Linked DNA regions of Lepisosteus oculatus. The protein of the gene in region 1 purifies or fractionates together with the protein of each later gene. This does not show direct contact. Links are inferred from orthologs where the notes say so. Each region holds a gene or a part of one and is shown on either strand. Other genes may lie near its edges.

The links.
Region 2: the proteins of smad1 (region 1) and skia purify together in Homo sapiens (affinity purification with western blotting, with the first as the bait; 3 studies listed by BioGRID). This does not show direct contact. The link is inferred for Lepisosteus oculatus from reciprocal best matches to the Homo sapiens genes SMAD1 and SKI.

Annotation. Positions count from the first base shown.
Region 1 is NC_090696.1:27,164,802-27,175,867, forward strand, and holds the start of smad1 (mothers against decapentaplegic homolog 1), read right to left. Parts: upstream 4,836-11,066; 5' UTR 4,587-4,835; intron 2,493-4,586; exon of another isoform or gene 2,456-2,492; intron 1-2,455. UniProt on the Homo sapiens protein: Transcriptional modulator that plays a role in various cellular processes, including embryonic development, cell differentiation, and tissue homeostasis.
Region 2 is NC_090720.1:4,149,046-4,159,761, forward strand, and holds the start of skia (v-ski avian sarcoma viral oncogene homolog a), read left to right. Parts: upstream 1-5,698; 5' UTR 5,699-6,246; coding exon 6,247-7,152; intron 7,153-10,716. UniProt on the Homo sapiens protein: May play a role in terminal differentiation of skeletal muscle cells but not in the determination of cells to the myogenic lineage. Functions as a repressor of TGF-beta signaling.

The DNA.
Region 1 (11,066 bases):
GGCCAATTTCACAGAAGCCAATTAACCTTTAAGTATGTCTGTGGACTACGGGAGGAAATGACATGGAAGAACATGAAACTCCACACAGACAGCACCCCGGGTTTGGAATTGAACCCAGGGTCGCAGCACTGCTAACAACTGCACTGTCGTGCTACCCTGTGCAAATGAATATTTAAAAGTACAATCCTCCAGCCACAAAAAAATACAAGATGCACATCTAAACAATTACCTTACAAAAGCACCTATTTGAATTCACCTGGCAAAGAGAGTCTATGTTTTTGCCACATTCTTCCATGACATCCAGCCAGCATACTCATCAGGATTTCCTCAAAACAGCAACGCGATCTCCATCATTGTCACGTCAGTGGACATGGACAGGCAGCACTCCACAGATTCAAGACCCACAACTCTTCTGAACTTTCAGATACGGAAATCATTCCATTATAGGGCACAACCTCCCTCCTCCCCCCAGATACCACTCCAGGCCCTTTACAATAAGACGAGTGTACTTACACAGTAATGACTGTTCTGTGGAAGTCATTAAACACTTGGCTGCAAATTTAATTTATGTTATCAGCAACAATGATACTCCCCCTCTCACACAACAGTGTACACATTCCCTGCAGTACCACAGTTCAACACCCCAGACATCAGTGACGAAGAACGAGTTTACCGAAATATTTAGAAAAATATTTTCTGTATTTACACAAAGACTTACTTCCTTTTTCAAGGGAAAAAAAAACAGTCTCCTGCCAGAGGCTTGTGACTTCCTGGCCTGTTCATGTGCTCCAATGACCAAAGCTTAAGCTAATGGGCTCAGATCATACGACTCTGACAAGCTGACCCCCATGCCATCCCCATGTATCATTTTGCACAAGTTCTGAGCTGTAAATCAATTTAGGATCTCCTGCAGGTTGAGGAGGCAGTAATGATGCTCTCTCGCGTGTCTCTGGGGACCGTGCATTACACAGAACTTACAATATTTATAAAGGCTTGATGGTGTCTCCATTAGTCTCAGCACAAATGAGCTTCTCTCTGCCATCAGGCAGAAGCGCAGATGTTAGAAGCATGTTTAAGCCACAGAACTGATTTGCGTTACGCTGCCTCTCCGCCATTTGTCTCACTGCTATGAAAGTGTTTACATGGAGCCTAGCTAAGCAAGCACCAATAACAAGAGCTAAAACTGTAAGCACATCATTATACGACCCTGCAACCCACAACAAGAACATCGGCCGATCCTTTCCAAATCTTCTCTGCACTGTGGGAAAAATAACACATCAACCCCCAAGAACAGGCTGGCGACTGAAACCTGACATTTGCCTCAGCACTGAGGGGAGTCCCCATGACCCATGTAAAGTGTCCAGAAAAGCGCAGTATATAAGTGTAAGGAATTATTATTAGCACTGTTCCACTAGCAATGGGATGGCTGGAGCGAGTCTGTACTCCTAGATGTGGACTGTAGCACTGAAGCAAGGAGGAGGGGAATAGTGGAACCGTCATTCATTCAGCCAAATGGCTCTTCCTGCTGTCTGAGCTCATAAGGTACTGAGGTTAGTTAGGTTAGTGTGTTACCCTCAAAAAGCACCTTCTTCCGAGACCTTTTACAACTGAGCTGTAATGAGTATCCCGATACTGAGGAAAGCCAGGTTTGCCATCCATGACGCTTTACATAATACTACAGTACACTAGCACATCATGCACTCTCAGCACTATAAAACAAATGCAGAACTGACTTCATTTCATGGGCACTTAAGTATACGGATAAAATTTCGCATTAAACCTCTTCCGACTGAATCTGGTCTTAGACCAGCAATAAATCTTGAAGTATCTCTTCCAAAGGAAAAAAAAATGAGGTTATCCTCGAGAGGTGTTAAGACTGTATCGGATAATTTCGACAAATTCCTATTTTTACAAGTAAGCAATTGCGATACTGCCTTTACAGCACGCCAAGAGAAAAACGGAACTTTATGAAACGCTATTTAAAGTATTCTACATACACAAGATCGTAATGGATGCATTGTTGTATAGTTTTGCGAAAATCACAGAAAAAAGGAGTCGACTGTGAACGAAAAAGGGGGCAGAGCACGTGAAACCTTAAAGGTTAACACCTTCCTGAATGAGGGCTGAAATCCTTTTCACATACATCAAAGAGAGGTGTTCACATCTCTAAGGACCTTACATGGACACTGAACACCTCCAGTCTCATCAAGAAGGCACAACAGCGGCTGTACATCCACAGATCCTCACCAACTTCTACAGATGTACGGTGGAGAGCATACTGACCAGCTGCATCACAGTCTGGTACGGCAACTGCACCGCATCCGACCGTAAGGCACTACAGCGAGTGGTCAAAACTGCCCAACACATCATCAGCAGTGTCTTACCATTCATCCAGGAAATCTACAACACCAGGAGTCTGTAAAAAGCCACCAAAATTATGCCTGACCCCACTCACCCCAGTCATAACTTGTTTGTTCCCCTACCATCTGGCAGGAGGTTCCGGTCAATCCAGTCGCACACAACTAGACTCCAAAATAGCTTCTTCCCCAGAGCTGTCAAGTTGGTGACGCCCCCACTCCCTCCCACCATATTATGATCTCTCCTAACATCTTCCTGTACCCACAACCACTGTACTCCTACACCACTACACACACATGTAAGCCGAAATTGTACTGTCCCCTCGATAGCCCAGTAAAACTGTACCGGTCATAATAATATTTAATATTTATTAATTAACCATACTATTATTAACCATACTATTTTTGCACTGTTCCAAAAATTACCTTGCACTGTTTTTGTCCTGTTAGATTTTATGTTTGCGGAATTTTGCACAGTTTTGATTACATGTTATTTATGTTATGTTATTACATGTTACTGTTATTGCTATTGTGTAACTGTCTATTGTCTTATCTTCTGTCCTATTTATATACTGCACCTGAGTGACTAATGAGAAACACTTTTCATTATACTATGCACCTGTGTAAGTTTAATGACAAAGTTTAATTGAAGAGAAACATTTTTGAGCACGCAGAAACGTTCGCAGTATGTAGGAAGGTTCTGCACTCTGGTTTCGGAGTTGACATTCAGAATCCACAGCACCGCCGTGAACTCCGCAATCTGGGCACAAAACCACCTGCAGGCCGCCTTTCCCACACACTCCCCAGAAACTCAACCGGAACAATCTGGAAAATCACTCCAACTGATCACCATCATCAACCCAGAGAGATCACCCTAATAGAAAAGGGGCGAATACAGCAAAGCGCGCAGGTAAACAAAAACTTAAGGGAAGTCAGAAAAACGTAAAATCAATGGTTATTTAATCCTTCAAGGGGTGCTAAAATGATGCAGCGAACGTATCTGAACTATTGGAAAACATAAAAAGGGTCTGCAAGTCTTTTTCCCCCCACAGTGTACCTGCAGATTTGCTTTTACTCCTCGACAGAGAGAGAGCTGCCGCTAAAAAAAAAAAGCGCTCCCAGACGTCAAAGATGTACAGCAAAGAATCAAATCAAACGCAAGGACGAATGCCTGCCCTCTGGGTCATCCGATCTCTCCCCGAAGACAGCGAGATGTGTTCCCGGGTCTTTGTGCGTCCAAGAGCATCCCCGAAGCGTCTCGTGCCGGAGCGGGGACCCCTGCGCTCACACCCAGGCTGGGCGAGATGATCAAAGCCCTTTCCTCTTCGCGATTTCTTTTTTTTTTTCCCCAATTCCAAGTGCCCGGGTTTTGTTTTGTTTTTTAACGATCTTAAACGGCATCGAATTGCACGGACGGCGGCTCCGTGTCCCTTTCACGCGAAGTCCACGAGCGCTTGGAAGCGCGTCCGAGCCCACTCGAGCTCCGGGAAACAGGGCGAGTTCGCCCGGATCCCGACCGGGTAATGACGTCAAGGCACCAAGACGACAATGGAAACGTTCAGACATCGCTTCTGACAGGTCCATACTACACTAAACTAAATCTACAGAGCATTCATAGGAGTCTTCATTTGCTTGTCTGCATTGTCACCCCACCCCACACACACACTTTTTGAAAATGTTCTGAAAGATTTTAATGAGCCGAGAAACTCGTGTGTCAATCCAAATGAAGAATCACCCTTAACCCTTTTACAGTTAGAATGAACTTTTCATCAGCTTGGCTAACAAAATCTAGCTAATCACACATTTGAATACCACAGAACTACCGAAAAAAACATCACCCAAAGACTCAATTCCAGTTTTCAAACGAGGAAAAAGGGGGTGACAACGTTTCGGGCTGTCGTCTAATACAGACCCCAGCACGCTAAATACAGCAAACTAAACCTTTAACGGCAACACATTTCAACATCTGACAACTTCACATAATAACACACGACCGCTGCCCCTGTACCAATACACCAATTTTAAAAGCAGCATGTCGGCTGGCGAACGGCACTTCAAAACAAACGGATGACACGGGTTTAAAACGCAGTTACTGGCAAACCTGAGAATAAAGGTACGAGCTCTCGTTTCAGAGAGAGACAAGCGAAAAACACACATTTATTAACAGGGGTTAAATCTAAAAGCCAACTAAAAAGCAGAATCCACCAAAAAAAAAACAAAGCCACTCACGTTAAACAAAAAAAGAGAGAGAAAAGTTTTCCGCGTCTCCACCGGCCGCCCGTCCGCGGCTCTTCAGCTCCGACACTGGGAAGAGCGAAACTTCTGCCGCCGCGCAGCTCGCGCGCACCGCTGCCTGGATTGATCTCGCGTCCCTGGCGTCAGCGAGTCGAGGACCACCGCACCCTCCGCGCCGCGCTCTGTATCATGCCGCGGGGCTGCGCGGCTAGGGGCCGTCTCAAAATAACCCGCCCCGCTCACCGGGGAAAATTGAGTCCTCTCTACTCCCCCCGTGCCTTCCGTGTGTCAAATAAGAAGAGGATCTCGGTTGCTGTGCAATACTGGGAGACGCGGTTGGTTGTGCTTCGCAGCTGGCTTTTTATTAACTGGACGGGGTACTCGCCGCCCTGACATTTGGTGATTTGAGGAGGACGCTTGGCTGTCAAGTGAGAATCTCTTGCCAGTTAAAAAATGTCCGATTGCGCCGACCTTTTCAACAGAAGTTAGAAAACGTCCTGTAGCTACTAGTGCATATTTTCACAAGAGCATTATACTGTGAACTGGTATCCTATACCGTACAGTGCTACATAGAACACTTTTGCCTGGTTAGAAGCTACTTTATGCATGTAATACAAGCAGAATCGCCGACAGACACGTCTTAATTCATCCTGGAATTATTCGTTTAAAAAAATAATCTTACACTCTGTCCGTCACGCATGTATTGTTGGACAGGGCGCAACATTCGGGCTTCAATACCAATGTTCCTTTCAGCGTGAAACACATCTGGTCTGGTCTTGGGGAAGAAAAAGTCGGTAGTGCTGACTGGTGTGTTATTTGAGCAAGATGTACAGTACATCTCTCAAGAGGCAGAAGACACAGCAGAGGCCTACTATAGTGCCAAGGTGAACGTCTCCAGCCACAGCCTGTCAGCCCCAAAATCAAAGGAAGTTTTAAGTGGGAATGACAGTTCAACCATTTGCATTTGAAGCACCTCTTAGAAATGTTTTAGGAATAGCTCTCTTTAAAACTGGTTAAAATCAGTCAGATAAAACCACTGACCTGCCAACCTGGGCTAACTATTAAAGAGCTGTTTGAATGCATCGGGAATTTTGTGTGTGCTAATTGAAGATACTCCGGATCATAGTGTAGCTCCTGCCCTCTGTGAAGAGAACTGGCTCGCACGGAAATGACTGGATTTTAAAGGCTCTCCTGCTCACACGTGAAGCCCTGCGTGTTTCAATTGAGCGTAATCTGAAATCTTAATCTGAGATTTTACTTAATTGTTGAAGAGGAACATGTTCCAAATCAATCTGTGCTCGTTTCTCCATTCTTTCATTTTACCTCTGATCTCTGTATTACATGGGTAATATTGCACAGAACATTGAATTAAAAACAAATTGTGTTCTTCACGCCTGCAGCGTTAGGAGCATTAGGACATCTGCAAACAAGAGAGGTCATCCAGGCCATTTAGTAGTTGGTAGCTAGTTGATCCAGTTATCTCATCCTGCTGTTTCTTGAGTTTGTGTCTCAGCCCCTGTCTAGGATTCCTCTTCCACCTTTTAACAACTCTTTGTGTAAGGAAGTGTTTACTGTTTCTCAGTCCACCCTAAATGAATTTAGCCTTTTAGCCTCTGATTTTGTATCCATGTCCTTGTTTCACAACTGAACTAAGTAAAAGTAGCCCCCTGAGTTTAACCTATCTCTGCCCTTTAGGCATTTACATGTAAAATAAAATGTACTTTTAATATTTGATACAATGACTGCTACAATCACGTCTACTATTAATGATATCAATGACATCAAATCGAAGCACTGCTCAATGATGCAGTTACTGATAGCTCTCTCACTGTAACTTTTGTGGAGACAGAACACTAATGACCCATTGCAATTAAACTTTTGATCGTATTTTGCTTCATGAACACAGTATATTATCAGATAACGATGTTAAGTAGTTATTATAGATAAGTAACGTACAAACTCCACATAGACAGCACCCCAGGCTGAGAATTGATCCCTGGGCCCCGGCACTGTGAGGCACTGTGAGGCACTGTGAGGCAGCAGCACTAGCCACTGCTCCACCATGCCGCCCACGGGCAGATCATGTTCTGTGTAATTGAGACTGCTGTGGGAATGACTGGCACTTCCAGAGTTTTCTGTGCTCCGAGGTGTGTATTGCTCGCTGAAGTGTTGCATTACTAGAAGATATTTTGAGACATTTCGGAAAAGCAATGTCATTTCCAATGCTGGGCCAATGCCATGTGGCATTCCCAGAAGCTGCAGATCGTAGGCTGGGGTCAGGGAGGTCTCTGACTGCTATGATAAGGCAAGAATAGGAGCTGTGGTAAGGAAACGAGAGCAGACAGAGGGGGAGAAAAGCTGCAGCAGAAAGTTTCCCAGGCAAGAGGAGAAAGGCAACAGTAGCCTCACAGGGATTTGTAGTGGACCTCAGACAGCCTACCCACAGTTCAACAGTGACACCAGACTCAATCTTCGGTTGATAAAGGGTTTAATACTGCTGGTACTGAAGGAGAACCTCTTGAGAACACCATCTGATTCCCTATCTGAAGCACTCTTTCAATGCCTCGGTGGTAGGGATTGTTATGGCTGTAGCTTTCTTTAGTAAGATACTCTATAAGCTTCTTTAAAGCCGAGTGGGACAAGAAGCAGCTACAACCACAGAGAACAGTTAGCAAGACAGCCAAAGGCTGTGCAGCATCATCCCTGGGCTGCTGTCTTGGTTTTCCACAACATCTTGCCCAGTGTTTGTGTGTCAGAAGGGCCCGAGCTCATACATGACCTGCATAGTGTCGCTGTAAAATGGAGGGATTTTAATGTTGTGATGCAGGCCATCCAAGAAAGCAGAGATGCCATAATGGCAGATGGCAAAGGTTTGAGTGCACTCATGAGTGTTAATTTCTGACACCACAGCAAGGTGAAAACCCAGAACTCTCAATGCCCACTAAAGAAATTAATGAAGCTGTCAGCTCACCGAAATCTTCTGCAGGCTTTCACACCCACATGTTTAAAGCTGACAGAACGTGAACTTTGACCACTTTGACCATGAGATCAAGCAGGACAGTATAGGTATCCGAGTTCCTCTCTGCAAATTAAGTTCCCTGCTCAGCCACTAGCACAACCACGACGCTTGTAACAAGCAGTCTGTTTAGCCTGAGTATTGTACCGTGGTATTTCAAGTAATAATAAAATTTAACTTTATATAGCGCCTTCGCAGTAGGTGCAAAAAACGTTTTAAGGATAGCAAATCACAAAATAAGTACGTAAAAGAAAAAGTTTAGAAGTGCATCAGAAGTTAGAAAATGGAGAAGACACAGACACTAATTAAGTTAAAGTCTTTCTGAAAAGAAACGTTTGGAGTCTGGACTGAGACGCACTCAGGGCAGGTGACTCTGATATCCTTGGGGATAGAATTCCAGAGGTTTGGGGAGCAGATTGGAATGTAGTACAATATAAGTATGACAGGGGAAAACCATGTCAATTTTAAGAAGAGAGGAATAGCCCCAAAGGTTGGTTTCTTCTTCCCAACCACACAGCTGTGCACCAGTCCTGCCTCAGCCAAGCCTCCATTCATCAAGCTAAAAGCTGAATCCCCCTTCCACCAGCCGGACCCAGCCGTGAACGCTAGCTTTTTCGTCATCTGAAGACTCGACGTCTGCTGTGTGGTCTGCAGAGGATGAGTGGTGCCCACTGTGGTCTGCTTGAGGGGGGATCCTGAAGAGAGCTGCTTTGCTAGCAGAGCGCTCGTTTGAAGGAGAAGTGGACTGAAGTCACATGTAGCTTTATTTAAAAGGTGATGTAGACTCTGTGTGGTCAGTACCATTTGAAATATCTTGTTCTACTCATTATTTGATCTCCCTAAGACACCGAAATGTGATGTAAAGATTAGTCTCATTTTTAACTCGGCATTAAAACTTCTGTTGCATTAGTTTGGAGGTGCTGCTGTCTCTGTTATCAGTGTACAGTATATGTGTTGTACGTACAGTACAGCTGCAAACGTTTGGCTACCAGGTGTGCTGGCTAGAGAAGAAAACCTCATCTAATGTCTGAAAAAACAAGAGCATTGAGCGTCCTTAAATCCAAAGGGTTTTGAGATGGAAATTGAAAACGTTTTTTACAAAGCAAATTAGACACAACTTTCCCTTCTGGAAATGTTGGATATTAAAAACCGTTTTAGCTGTGTTCCGCAGAATTACAGTTGTATTCAAATCCAAAGGGGCAGTGAAAACAAAACCATTTCACAACATTACAAATGAAAACGGTATTGTTGTCATTAAGGAATAAAAGAAACGTGCAGGTCTACTTCGCTTAAGAGACCGATGTTCGACGTATAGTATTATGCACTATCGGGCTGTCGTGATGCCCGAAGACGTCTCGCTATGTCCGAATACTCGAAAGAAGAGCTACGTTACAGTATAAGCTAACTCATTCATATTGCATCCCAGTGCGTTACAACACTGTGCTCGGGAGCACCGTTAGAACAAGAGGAATTTAGAGAATGTTTCCGATGTGCAATAAAGCCCTTCAAATCCCACATCCTCCAGAACCTTTAAACACGCGCTGTAGAACCGATCTCGAACTTCCAGGCAGCACGTGTAAGGGGGCGTGTAGCCTGTCATTATTGTCCTTATTCAAGACTGACCATGATCACGCTTCTGTTTCGGACAGTTTTTTACACACGAAGTTACACGGTATAACCCAATCCTAGAGCTGTAGTTTAATGACAGGCTGGTCCACTCATTTCCAATCTTCTCTTCGCACTCAGAGGGACGTAGCTGGATCCTCGGACTGAAGGAAGCGTAATTTTTTTACACATCGAAGAAAACCTTTATTATTTTGGGTTTTTTTATGTTCGCAGCTTTCCGTGCTATGTTCATTACGTTACTCTTAAGGAGCTTGGAAACAAACATTAAACAAACCCCCAACGTTTAAGTGTTTATTCTCCAAACCTCCCTGACTTTCATTTTTTATTTTGTTAGAAATTACTCTCTCCACTCACAATGATAACAGCGCTATGAAAATCTCCGTAGCTATTGTTACATTTCAGACCCTGTCATTGGCCGTTGTTGAAACCCCGGCGTGTTCAAGCATTCTTTCTCTCCTATCTTGCCCGCAACATGGACTTGAACGTCGAGCTGTCTCGCTGCCTCTGGGACTAGTTTATCCACGACCCTGTTGCGCCGGCGGAGGAAAACAATCCAGCGTGTGCGCTGTAGCGCGGGTGACGTCACGCGGCTGGCGACAGAATGTCTGAGTGAGGCGCGAGCAGGCTGCACGTGAATGTGAAATCTGGGAAAACAGTGCGAGTCGGGAGCGTGCGGAGAGGGAGGAGGCGGAGAGGCAGCGGCCGCCGCAGCTTAATTTAGACGTTGAATGGCCCTGGGACTGAGGGCTTTCTGCGTGTGTTGATGTGTGGCTGTGTTAACTTTTCTGTTGTGGCTGTATTTTTAAACAGTACTTCATTCAGTCTGCAATGGGAACGTGTCTAGTATCACAAACCCCTTCTCAGACACCGGGTATTGGCAGTTCGCAAAACATTAGCCGCTGTCTGATTTTAATTCCAATTTTTTATTGGACGAGCTCCCTGTGTTTAAATAAACGAGCTGCAAAATGTTACTGTTCTCCAGCATACTAAATTCATACGGCATTTCTAATGGTATCTTGTTCTAAACAGTGAACAAACTTAACTTTAAAATTTAAGGAATCAAACGTTTGAATTAAATTCCTTGAGGTGGTTGTTTTTTGTCTCGGTGGAACTCGACCATACCCTGCCCTAGATAACACAAAATCTGAATAAAGATGATAATATACTTTTTGTGTGACTCTGTCTTTGTTCTCCTTCAAAAGGTGTATACTTCATGTTGTTCACAACGAAAGTGAGTGAGAGCTTTGTTCATTGTACCAGTAAGGTCAATGTGCCCAATGAAGCCTCCAGCTTCACTACCACACCGGACCCCGCTGATCCCAGGTCTGAGGAGAGAATCGAGAAAAGGCTGAGGAGTCCACAAAGGAGGGTTCAGACATCCTCAAAAACATACTAGGAGAAACAGCAGACGTTTATCAGGGCTGTCGAAGATAGGAAAATGGAGAAACTGCTGCCGAACAATGTTGCATTTTGGTTTCTACTTACTGAAGCAAATTGTAGGATATTTGTTAAATGGAGTGATTGCTTCACAGAATTATTTTGAAATGCAGGTGTTTTAACCATAAATCGGAAGACTGACATATGTGAATGAAACATGCATGTGTTGACGCCTAGGTTTTAAACACTGTTATTTAATCTGCAGATAGAGTCCATCTCCTCTCCCTTTGCCCCTGTGGAGCTGCTTCTGCGTAGCTGTCAGAAAACAGCTGTGGGACTCCATCCAGAAGTGGCTCCAGTCCTACTTTCTTGGGTTTGGCCGTGACATTTTGTAATGTTCTGGGGCTACGCCTGTCACATTTGTCACTCACTTTGCCTTGCAGTGATAAATCACC
Region 2 (10,716 bases), on another chromosome or scaffold:
GAGCTGATCGAGAGTGGCACGAAATGGCATTAATGTATAAAAATAAGTGTTGGCCTAGATTTATTATTTCAGTTTTAATAAAAGAAAACACACAGATTTAGAAAAGCCTATTGTTTAGCAGCATTCAGATACCAGAATCAGCATTCACTTAACGCCTACTGGTGAGCAATGAAATCCCATTTAAAATGCATTACTACCTGCTCCAGTGGGGAAACATTAAACAACATATGATATGTCTTACCTCAAGCGCCTGGGGATTCACATAAAATTCTGTTCTTTATTTTCAAAGGGAAAAAGTTAGTAGAACACTAGATTCAAATATCAATTATAATACTGTCTTATATAATTAATATAGTAGAATATATGAACAGGAGATGTGGTGATCTTGGAAGATTGTTATTGTCTTCATGTAAATTGGGAATGCCCATTACGGATGACAACAGCAGAAAATGGGATGATAGACATGGCTAAAGACAGCTTTTATAACACAATTGGCCAGAGACCCTGCTCGACGACGTTGCCTGAGTTGATCTCATCTTTTCAAACATTCAAGATAAAATAAAGAGAATAGAGATGAAAGAACCATTTGGCAATTAACCATAATATTGTTTGCTCTGATATATGTTTTGAAACTGTAGAGGTGAAGTCTAAAATAAGGTTTACAATTTCAGGTAAGCAGACTATGAAGTAATGAGACAGAGCTTTTAGAGAAGTAGATGGGATTAGGGAAGGAATCAGTAGATAATGGATGGCAACATTAGGATTTCTGCTTGAAGCACATAACACGTCTCATTAGTATGTAAATCAAAGTCTTGTAAGCAGTGACCCAAATGGATTACGAAATCAGTTAAGAAAAATATAAGGGGAAAGAAAGATCTGTATAAAGTAATTAAAAATCGCAGTATCTGGTTAAAGAAAAGTAATGTAATGAACTCCAAACAGCTTTAAAATGGTAGAAAGGTCAAGAGACTGATAGAAAAGAATATTGCAGCGGAGAGTTTTCAGTACAATTGCAGCAAACAACGTTAGACAATGCCAGGGAAATAAACTATGTATAAAATGAGAACTTCACTCATTTAATATTTCTCTAGAAATTAATGGTATTCCCCAATTTGTACTTCTGAACAAAGATGTTGCTGTTAAAAAAACACCAACAGTCACTCGAGACAGACATAGTATAATATTCATTAACTGGAAAATTGCTAATACAGCATCCATGCATAAAAAGAGTAATAAAAATTGAATCAAGTAATTATAGACCAATAAGCCTTAACTTCTATTAGATGTAAGGTTACAGAAACTATTAGATCAAACGTCTTCATTGCAATAGAATTTTAGATAGGAAACAGGATTTTTTAAAGAAAGATCTTGCTTAACAAGATCCTGTTAAGAGTTTTCACAACAGACAACAGCTTTAATGGATACAAACAACAATGTGGTGTATTTAGACATTTGTGGTGTATTTGGTGAAGTTTCGCCATGATTAATTAAATGAAGAAGAATTAATTGGAAGAGCTGGGATATTTCTGCTTGGGAATCAGTCCAGAGATGTGCAACCAAATACATTCCCATGTATTCTAGTGTGGATTGTTCTATACTGACAGGGTAAGAGAAGTTCATCATTTTAGTGGTGAGCAGAGTGGACTATGGGAGAACCCTATTTTTATTCTCAAAAACATTGATAAAGTAAACTGAATGGACTTCTTCAGAATCAACAGTGGAACATTTGGAACACACAGGGAATGTGTGTTTAAAACTGAGAATAGAGGACATGTTTTGTATATGGACATTTGGAAAAAGCAACCCAGAAGGGCTGACAAAGCTGATAACGTGGCTTCATCAAAGAAAAGCCCAAAAGTGATCCTTGGGTCAATTAACTGATATCAACCAAATGAAACGAAGTGCTAAATGGCCTCCTCTCATTTATAACCTTACTAATAAACTTATGTTCTTTGATATTTCAATGCCTAGAGCTGGTGCTTTTGATATCCGTATACTAGTATCTTTGTATTCCCGACCCCTTAAATTTCCACATGTGATTTAATTGGCTAATAAATTTGTTGGAACTCTGTCAATTGGCTGCCATTTAACAGGGGATAGCTACACTTCTGTGGTGGATACAGTCCTCTTCTGCCTGTAAAGACCCATTAGATCCTTGGGAAACATACAATATTATCACCATTATCATCAGGAAAATTATTCCTTTGCTCCAATTCAAGAAACTATCCTCTATTAAGTAATTGGGAGCACTTCTGCATCGGTTTTACACAATGCTTGGAGGCCATTTGATGTTTTCAATAAAATATCGGATAAAAGAACAAAGGAAGAAAATATGATAGTTCCTTTGACCAGGATTTATTTTCTCTTTAATAAAATCCATTCAGCAGGGACCTACTATATATATACCGCTGTGAAGAAACCCACTCCTTTAATAATAATTGCTGACGGGTATTATTCGCGGGTGATGAGTTCATGTGAATCAAGCAATACATCCGAGATTTTAGATGTGAAGTCTCCACAGATATCAGCTTGGATTTTCCCCCCAGTTGGTTTGAAGTTGTGGTCCCAAGCAACAGAGGTTTTTCTGATTCTAACTCTTCTTATCCATTAGGGGTTTATCTTTTCGTGAAAGGATATGTGAGAATTGTGAATCCCAGTGTTCTGCTGGGTATGTCTCTCTTAGTATTTTCATAATAATGTACACTTTATGAAATGAAAAATTCCACGAGGTTGCAAAGCTTGTTTTTATTGCTGTTGCCTTCCATGTGCAATGTTAATAAAAATACCATTTTCAAGCACATTGTAATCACTAAATGAAGGAACAAATTAACATGTGGTGACTTACATCTTGTTATGAGAAACAATGTCATGAGAATCTTTAGCTGAAATATGTACTATTTCGCCCAATAAAATGTGCTATCTCAATCATTTATATATGGATGTGTGAAAACAGTACAATCGTAACAAAAATCAATAATACTAATATTCATTTTGGGGCAGCATGATGGCGCAGTGCTTAGCAGTGTCACCTGAAATATCCGAAAAAGACAAATCTGGCAAAACATGACTTGAATTTATACAGGCGCATTTTCATTTGAAGCTCAACAAAATGTTCCTGATAAAAAATAAATGTACCTTATCAACCTACTGTGCTACTACAATATGGATCTGTCTCCATATACTCCTCCCACTCTGTATTTCCTGACTAGACATGGTGACCCCATTTCCTCATAATGACTGTCCCAGTGCCACAGACAGTGCAATTACATCACTGTCCTGCTAGAGGGAGCTAATGATACAGAATAATCAGTTTAGCTTCTCAATCCCACTTATTGTCTCTGACAATTGGACATATTTCCAGTGTAACTGGCTGAAAGGAATGATTTCACTGCATAGAGGAAATTGGAATGCATTTTTTCTCAGACATTTTTATGGTTTTGTTGTTGTGAAGCTTTAAAATCTAATTAAAAGGTAATACTTTTCTTACAAACTCTTTAACACTTTTATTTCATTAAAAATATTAATTGAAAGAAATGTTCTACATGTTTTTTTTGGTAACACATGCACAAAATAGGCTATAAGTGTGAATGTGTTCAGTATTAATTATTTCCCTTAATTGTACATTGTAGATTTAATAAAGCTCAGAACATGTACTCTAATGTATTACTATCACATAAAGTTTTGAAATTGATTACATTCATCTGAGAAATAGCAGCACTTGTTAATTGCATAAAAATCTTTTCAAGTGATAAAGGTATACCTAAAAACCAAGAAAAAATCCTGAGATGACACGGTTTTGTATTTTTGTGTAATCATATCCTTTAAATGAAACAGCACTAGAAATGCTATTTAATTATAAGATTAGCCCCCCACTGCAATAATCAGCACATCAGGAAGGGCAACTCCTGAATCAAGTTGTTCTGGGGCAGTTCATGAACACGATCCATCACCCAGTCCACCCAGGTAGTCGAGTGTGTCTTTGACAAAATCCAGGTTTTAAAACCTTTCAGCTCTAAGGCTTTATTTGACCATGCTTGCTGTGACCCCCTTTTTGTGTAACTCGTAAAACTGGACGGGTAAGAAAAGGCGACACATATCAATGTACATTGTGACTGCCTTAGCTATGGTGTTCATAACTCTACTTGGGGAGGGCCATGAGACACAATAAAAGAAGCAAGAACAATAACAGAGAACTCAATTTAAAAAAAAAAAAGAACGAGGAGCATGATAACAATAACACCAGGCCCTTTCCAAAATAAAGAATTCTTTAAGGAACTGTACCAAACTTTAAGCCATTAAAGGACTTAGGAGGTATTTAGTCAAACAAATTCTTCTTGGTTTCAGATGAATAGGAATGTGTGGGTGGATTGGTCTTATAAAAGTGCAAACACCCACCATTTTCATTCTCTGGTTCAGAAGTTTAGAGTCCATGTGTGTTCCTAAGCTGGCCTTGAAGATACATGTGTATGTGTGTGTGTGCTGTGGTAGGTGGGGGGACTTATGTTTTAAGTTACATTCTTCACTCTGATTTGAAGAAAGGCAGGCATCCTTTCTCCTTTTCGGAATGGTCAACAGCTGTTGATATCAGGGAATCATTTCCATGCCCCCCCGTGATGATCAGAAGTCATCAGGAATGGTTAGTCCAGGGCAGTTGAAGTCAAAGGTGTGCCACCTCAAAAAAGTTCTGTTCCCTGCAACCACATATAGGAGCTCTGGGGCAAGACAGGGTTTTCTGTGAACTCCGGCTCTATTTGTGGCTTTTTGCAGGAGCATTTTGGAAGAATCTCTGGAGCAAAGGAGAATCTCCGCAAGGAAAGTATTGTTAGACATGCCTTGAGTGCAAATGCATTTGCAGTTTACAGTCCGATAGGGCAAGTGCATGCTGAGACTGCAGTACACACTAAGCACAGACATCCAGAAATAAAATCTCTGTTTTCCTTGAATGTAAAAACGCTGATACGCCTTGTGTTTTGCTGCACTGTCTGGTCTGTGTTCAGATTCGAGGGGTCTGAAAAAAGCCAGGGGTTCATGAAGCCCTGAAGATCAAAATGAGCCCCCGTAGTTTACCATGATCATCATGAAGGGACTTTGCAACTAAATAAAATGGTTTGTTCAGAACTAGCAGACCTAGAAGATGTGGAAAATTGGTGGAGCAGCCTCGTGCAAAAAATATTAAACAAAAATCGGCCAAGATTCCCCCTCTGCGTTACACGCGTGTGTCCTTAATGTTTAAGAGCGCTTTGAACATAGAACCTACTGAGCACTGGAACTGATTAAACAAAACGAAAAAAAATATGTAAGCACGACTTTAAAAAAAATAAAATTCTTGTATGTGACAAACATCAGACTTTATTGCTTTACTTTCTGTCACTAAATGTTTGTAAAGGACTACTTTGGTCTATTTAAATAAAAATAAATAAACCGCAGTCACTCGTAGAATTTGCATTTCTCCTTAACGTCTAAATTAGACGTCTGTTGCAAACTCCACCCTTCCTCTCGGTTTAGCTGCAGACATTCTGAGCTGTGAACCAAGTGATTCACCATGCCCTGTGCTCAAGTCTCTTTTTTTTCCTTCCTTTTGCAGCAGCACGGGGCTGAGAAGAGAAGAGGGGGAGTGACGACATGTTCTTGGAAGAGCCAGCCTGGGGAGTCAGTCACATACTTGGCTGGGATTCAATGACTGAGCCAGACACACACAAACACTGAGAAAGGGGGGCTGCGAGGGAGAGGGAGAGAGAGAGAGAGTGAGCAAGCAAGCCTAGCTAGGTTGGCTGGCTGGCTGTAGTTGCACAGGCATATCATTACTGCAAGGGCAGACAGTGTGGATGTGAATTCTACCACTGCAAAACAGAAACGAAAAAGAGAGGCAAAGAGTGTACGGACTTTACAGTTTTGGGAAATTCTGAAAAACAAAGTTCAGAAGTATAGGTGGATACTTTTTGTGGAAGCGAGAGGCGCTTATTTTTTTCTTTATTGTGGATTGAGAAAGAAGCACTGGTGTGGATATGGACAGTAGGGAACCTACTACTGCAGGGGAAGACTCGCCGGTGTTACCGTACGCTTAGTCGGGGGATTGGACGCGCACTGTGTAGGACTTCTTTCTGGATGTTTGATGAAGCGCCTTTTCACCTCTGCTAACTCTGGGAGACCTTGGATTTACAAGGAACCGGGACCAGTGTGGGTTATCTATTGCTTTAGTTCTACCCCGGCAAAAGGAAGTTTCGCTTTTCAAGTAGTAAGTAAAACATGGAGACTGTAACCCGACCAAGCTTTCAACCTCATCCAGGACTGCAACAAACTCTGAAGCAGTTTCATCTGAGTTCTATGAGCTCTCTCGGCGGCCCGGCAGCCTTCTCAGCTAGATGGCAACAGGATATGCTGTACAAGAAAGATGGCAAGGACCCAGAGCCGGTCCTTCATCTCCCTATGCAGCCGCCCCCTGTGATGCCGGGTCCCCTCTTCATCCCGTCAGACCGCTCCACGGAAAGGTGCGAGACGGTCCTGGAGAGTGAGACTATCTCTTGTTTCGTAGTCGGCGGAGAGAAGCGGCTCTGTCTGCCCCAGATCCTCAACACCGTCCTGCGAGATTTCTCCCTTCAGCAGATCAACTCCGTGTGTGACGAGCTCCACATCTACTGCTCCAGGTGCACGGCGGACCAGCTGGAGATTCTTAAAGTCATGGGGATTTTGCCCTTCTCGGCACCTTCGTGCGGCCTCATCACCAAAACGGATGCGGAGCGCCTCTGTAATGCCCTGATTTACGGGGGTACCTTTCCACCGCACTGCAAAAAGGAGTTCTCCGGCTCCCTGGAGCTGGAGCTGACGGAGAAAAGCTTCAAGGTATACCACGAGTGCTTCGGGAAGTGCAGGGGACTTTTCGTGCCCGAGCTGTACACGAGCCCGAACGCAGCCTGTATACAGTGCATGGACTGTAGGCTCATGTACCCGACCCACAAGTTCGTGGTCCACAGTCACAAATCCTTGGAAAACAGGACATGCCACTGGGGTTTCGACTCCGCCAATTGGAGGGCATACATCCTCCTCAGCCAGGATTACACGGGCAAAGAGGAGAAGGCGCGCCTCGGGCAGCTTTTAGACGAAATTAAAGAGAAATTCGACTTCGCGAACAAATACAAGAGGAAAGCCTCAAGGGTAAGTTTCGGCGTGTTAAATGCTCGGACCTTTTGCACTGAAGGGCTGTGACAGGGAGCTGCGTGTTGGTGTGCATGGAGCCGTACGGGGTTTACGGGACAGCTTGGTCCGATTATACCGATCGAGTGCGCCGAAATGTTCACCTGAAGCTTAATTCACGAAATGTATGTGACTAATGCTTTTTTAGTCGTATCAAGAAATGTTCCTAACTAAATAACAATACTGCACCGCAGTGCAGAACTTCAGCTCTTCCTGCTAGACGGAATGTATTACTTTTTTTTTCTCGTCGGAGGCTTCCACGTTCCTCGCGTAGTGCATGGGTCCGATGTGCTGTGTTCGTCGCTTTAGCCGAGAAGAATCAAACCATGGGGGCTTAAATCATTTCTCGTCATTTGTGCAAAAAAGATATTTCGCCGTTGGCCACCGGGACGGGTGCGAGTCGGGATGTTGTTTTTGCGGGACACCGTAACACCTAGCGCGGTCACTTGACAACATTAAAAGTGTGTGCTGGCGCAAGCTGTGGTGAAGTTCATTATCAAATGTAACAAACAGTTGTCACTTTGAGTATTTTTGTTTTTTGTTAGGTACTGAAAATCCAAAACATTGAAAAACAAATGCGTACTATGTAACCATTCATGACGTTTCAATGGGAAACGGATGAAGCAGTAAGATTCGGGCGACAACTGAAATGACCTAATTTAAAGTTAACATATGGCTACTAATTAGCTACGAAGAATAACTAAACGCCTTTACGGTTATAAAGCCATTATTTGCTTGTGTAGTAGCCTGTCTTAGTAGGTGTGAAAGTCTTCTTATGCGCATTCGTATTCTTAGAGTGTTCAAATCCGCGGTAAACACAGACGCCTATCTGATATGAAGAAGTATGCATTAATGAATGTATTCTAATAGTAGCCTTTAATAATAATCAGAGTTTGATTCTTCTTGAAGCACAGTTTGTTTGGGTTTTCCATAGATTTCAAGAGATAAGAGGATTGACAGCTGGTTATGTTATATCAGGAACACCAACGGAGATTTTCATTGAAAACGCTTCGCATGGAAAAAATACCACTTTCACCCTCCCTCTGCAAGGTGCTACTGTTGCCCGCTTACTCCTCTCCCTCTTCTCCGAGTTCTGCATTGCCTTTCGCCCTTTTGCGATGTTTTGAAAATGTGAAAATGTTTAACATCGGAATCTCAGGTATTCGGAGGTGAATGTGTTTTTAATGACGGGCCCATCCCCGCTTAATGATGTGCTACTTAGCAAAGGTTGGATTCACGGAGGGTGGTCAACAGCGGTGCTTTTTGGTGGGAAAGATGCCAAATGTTGTGTCTGCCACGAGGGCTCGGTGAAAGTCCTGAACCTCGGTGTTAGTTTAACACAACGTGGTGAATAGATAGCTCACAGAGGTTATTTGCCCCACATAACCCTCTATTTGACTGTAGAATCCCAGAATCCCGTGATTTTCTCATTTTATTGTGTTCTCTCTATTGTCCGAGGGGAAAATAAAACGTCAATGTTTCAGCCACAAAAAATGTTTTAAAAACTTACAGAAGACATAAAACACCATTAATGTCCTTAAAAGTTTCTGTATGTGTAAGCTGATTTTTTTTTTAAATGCCAAAACAGTCCACTAAGGCGACGATAAAAGAACAACATATTTACTTTTTATTTCTTTTGCATACTTCACAGTATCTGACATATGTAAGCCAAACAAGATATGTGTCTGCATTTAATTAGCTACACATTTGAAAGAATCAAATATCACATTTAAGAGACAGAATGAAGAACTTTCTCAGAATGAGAAGCATATGCTTTTCAAAAGTTCAGGTTTTTTAGCTACCTGCAACACTAGGACCACTGTGTCTTATATTTTTAAGGATTACCATGTCTGTTTTGGAAGTCTACGATAAGAAAACATAACTGTTCTGGTTTTATTATTGTATTCTCTGAAGAGAAGGCCTGGGGGGTGGGAGTAGGGCCCCCTGATTATGTTCTGAGAAAGAGGTTTGTTTTTATTTTGCAAAGTGACCACTTTCAGGGCCAAGGAAATTGCGCTCTGAGTGTTTTCTGACTGTTTTGTACAGTTCACTTCAGCGGTTTCTATAGCAGCGACTGTGGTACAGATCAGCAGGCACATATACTCTCTGATAATCTAACTGCGCTTCAGAAAAAGTGTGAGTAATAACTTGTGGTCAGTTTCTGTCCAAGTGTGGCTAAAGATAAGTTTTTTCTTAAAGCAGAAGCAATACCTAGCATCTTTCTTGTGTTCAGTGTATTCACACAATCAACATTTTCTAGTTTGCAATGCTAATTTCTTTGAGAATGCTTTTGTTTCATTTGGAATGGGAGATACCCGGATAAACAGTGTCGTGTATGTTGGCCGTGGAATTCTTGGCTGTACTTCACATCCCAGCACACAACACAAACACATAGTATGGGACTTCTCCCTCACATCTTCACATCTATTTAGCTTCTAACTGCTTTGTTGCCCATGTAACCCTGACTTTTACATTGAGCTCTCTGCTACCAGCTTGAGGACAGAAGTCCAATTGTATCTGCAGGGTTAGAGGGGGATTAAGTCTGTGAACAGGGGTGGGTAGTGGGATCAGGGCAGAGTGCTTTTCCCTCCTCCCCAAAATAAAACCAATCAAATAAAGACCCCCCCCCCCTCCCCTTTCTAATGAAAGGCAAGCACATTCATTTGCATGAACTGTTACACTTGAATGGAGTTGATGAAGCAGGGATAGGAGTATTGTGGTCGAAACATAATATGCTCTAACAATGGTTCACATTCACTGACTCCCTCCCCCCCCCACAACACCCCCCCATCTCATCTCCCCTCTCCCCTCCTCTCCCCCTCACTACTTCTGCTTTTGGGAAATGAGTACTAGGGGGTGTGATGGTGGCAGAGCACTCGGTGGTCTGTCATACAAACAAAATGTAAATGTTTACAAACAGGAATTCCAAATTCCCACAGCAAGAGGAGTGGGGCTTCTGTTCTAGGCCAGAAGTCATTGGAGTTATTTTGTTACAGGGGTTAAGGAATCAGGTTAAGGGTCCTGTGGCACTGTGTTATATATCCTACATTCGAGTCTTAGTGCAGGGGCATAACTGGGGGAGTTAATGTCCCATCTGCATCTGTGAAATGACAAGTCTGTTTGTCCCAATTCAATTTTATTCCTAAAGTTTGTTTCTCCTTTAAAGCCACGGTTATCTGACGGGTTTACAGATTATTTTATTGGAATTTCTATTTTCATTGAGGAAAGGCCACTTTTTTTCAGCGTTGCCCACATTGAAGGGATACGTGAAAGTCTTGCTTATTCTCAAAGACCCTGCTGTGTGATAAAGAAAGTCAAATACACTTGATATTGGATCATCATTTGTTGCCTTTGTTTTTCTGTGTAGTTTTTTTTTTATTTGTGCGTGATCTTAGGAACAGCATTCACAGCTCCTCTAAAGGTGTGATGCCTTTTAATATTTTTTGTTGGAGAACACTGCAGACTAATTAGATGGACTATTGTGCTGTTTAGAAGCAGCTGTGGTTAAATATTTAACATACGAAC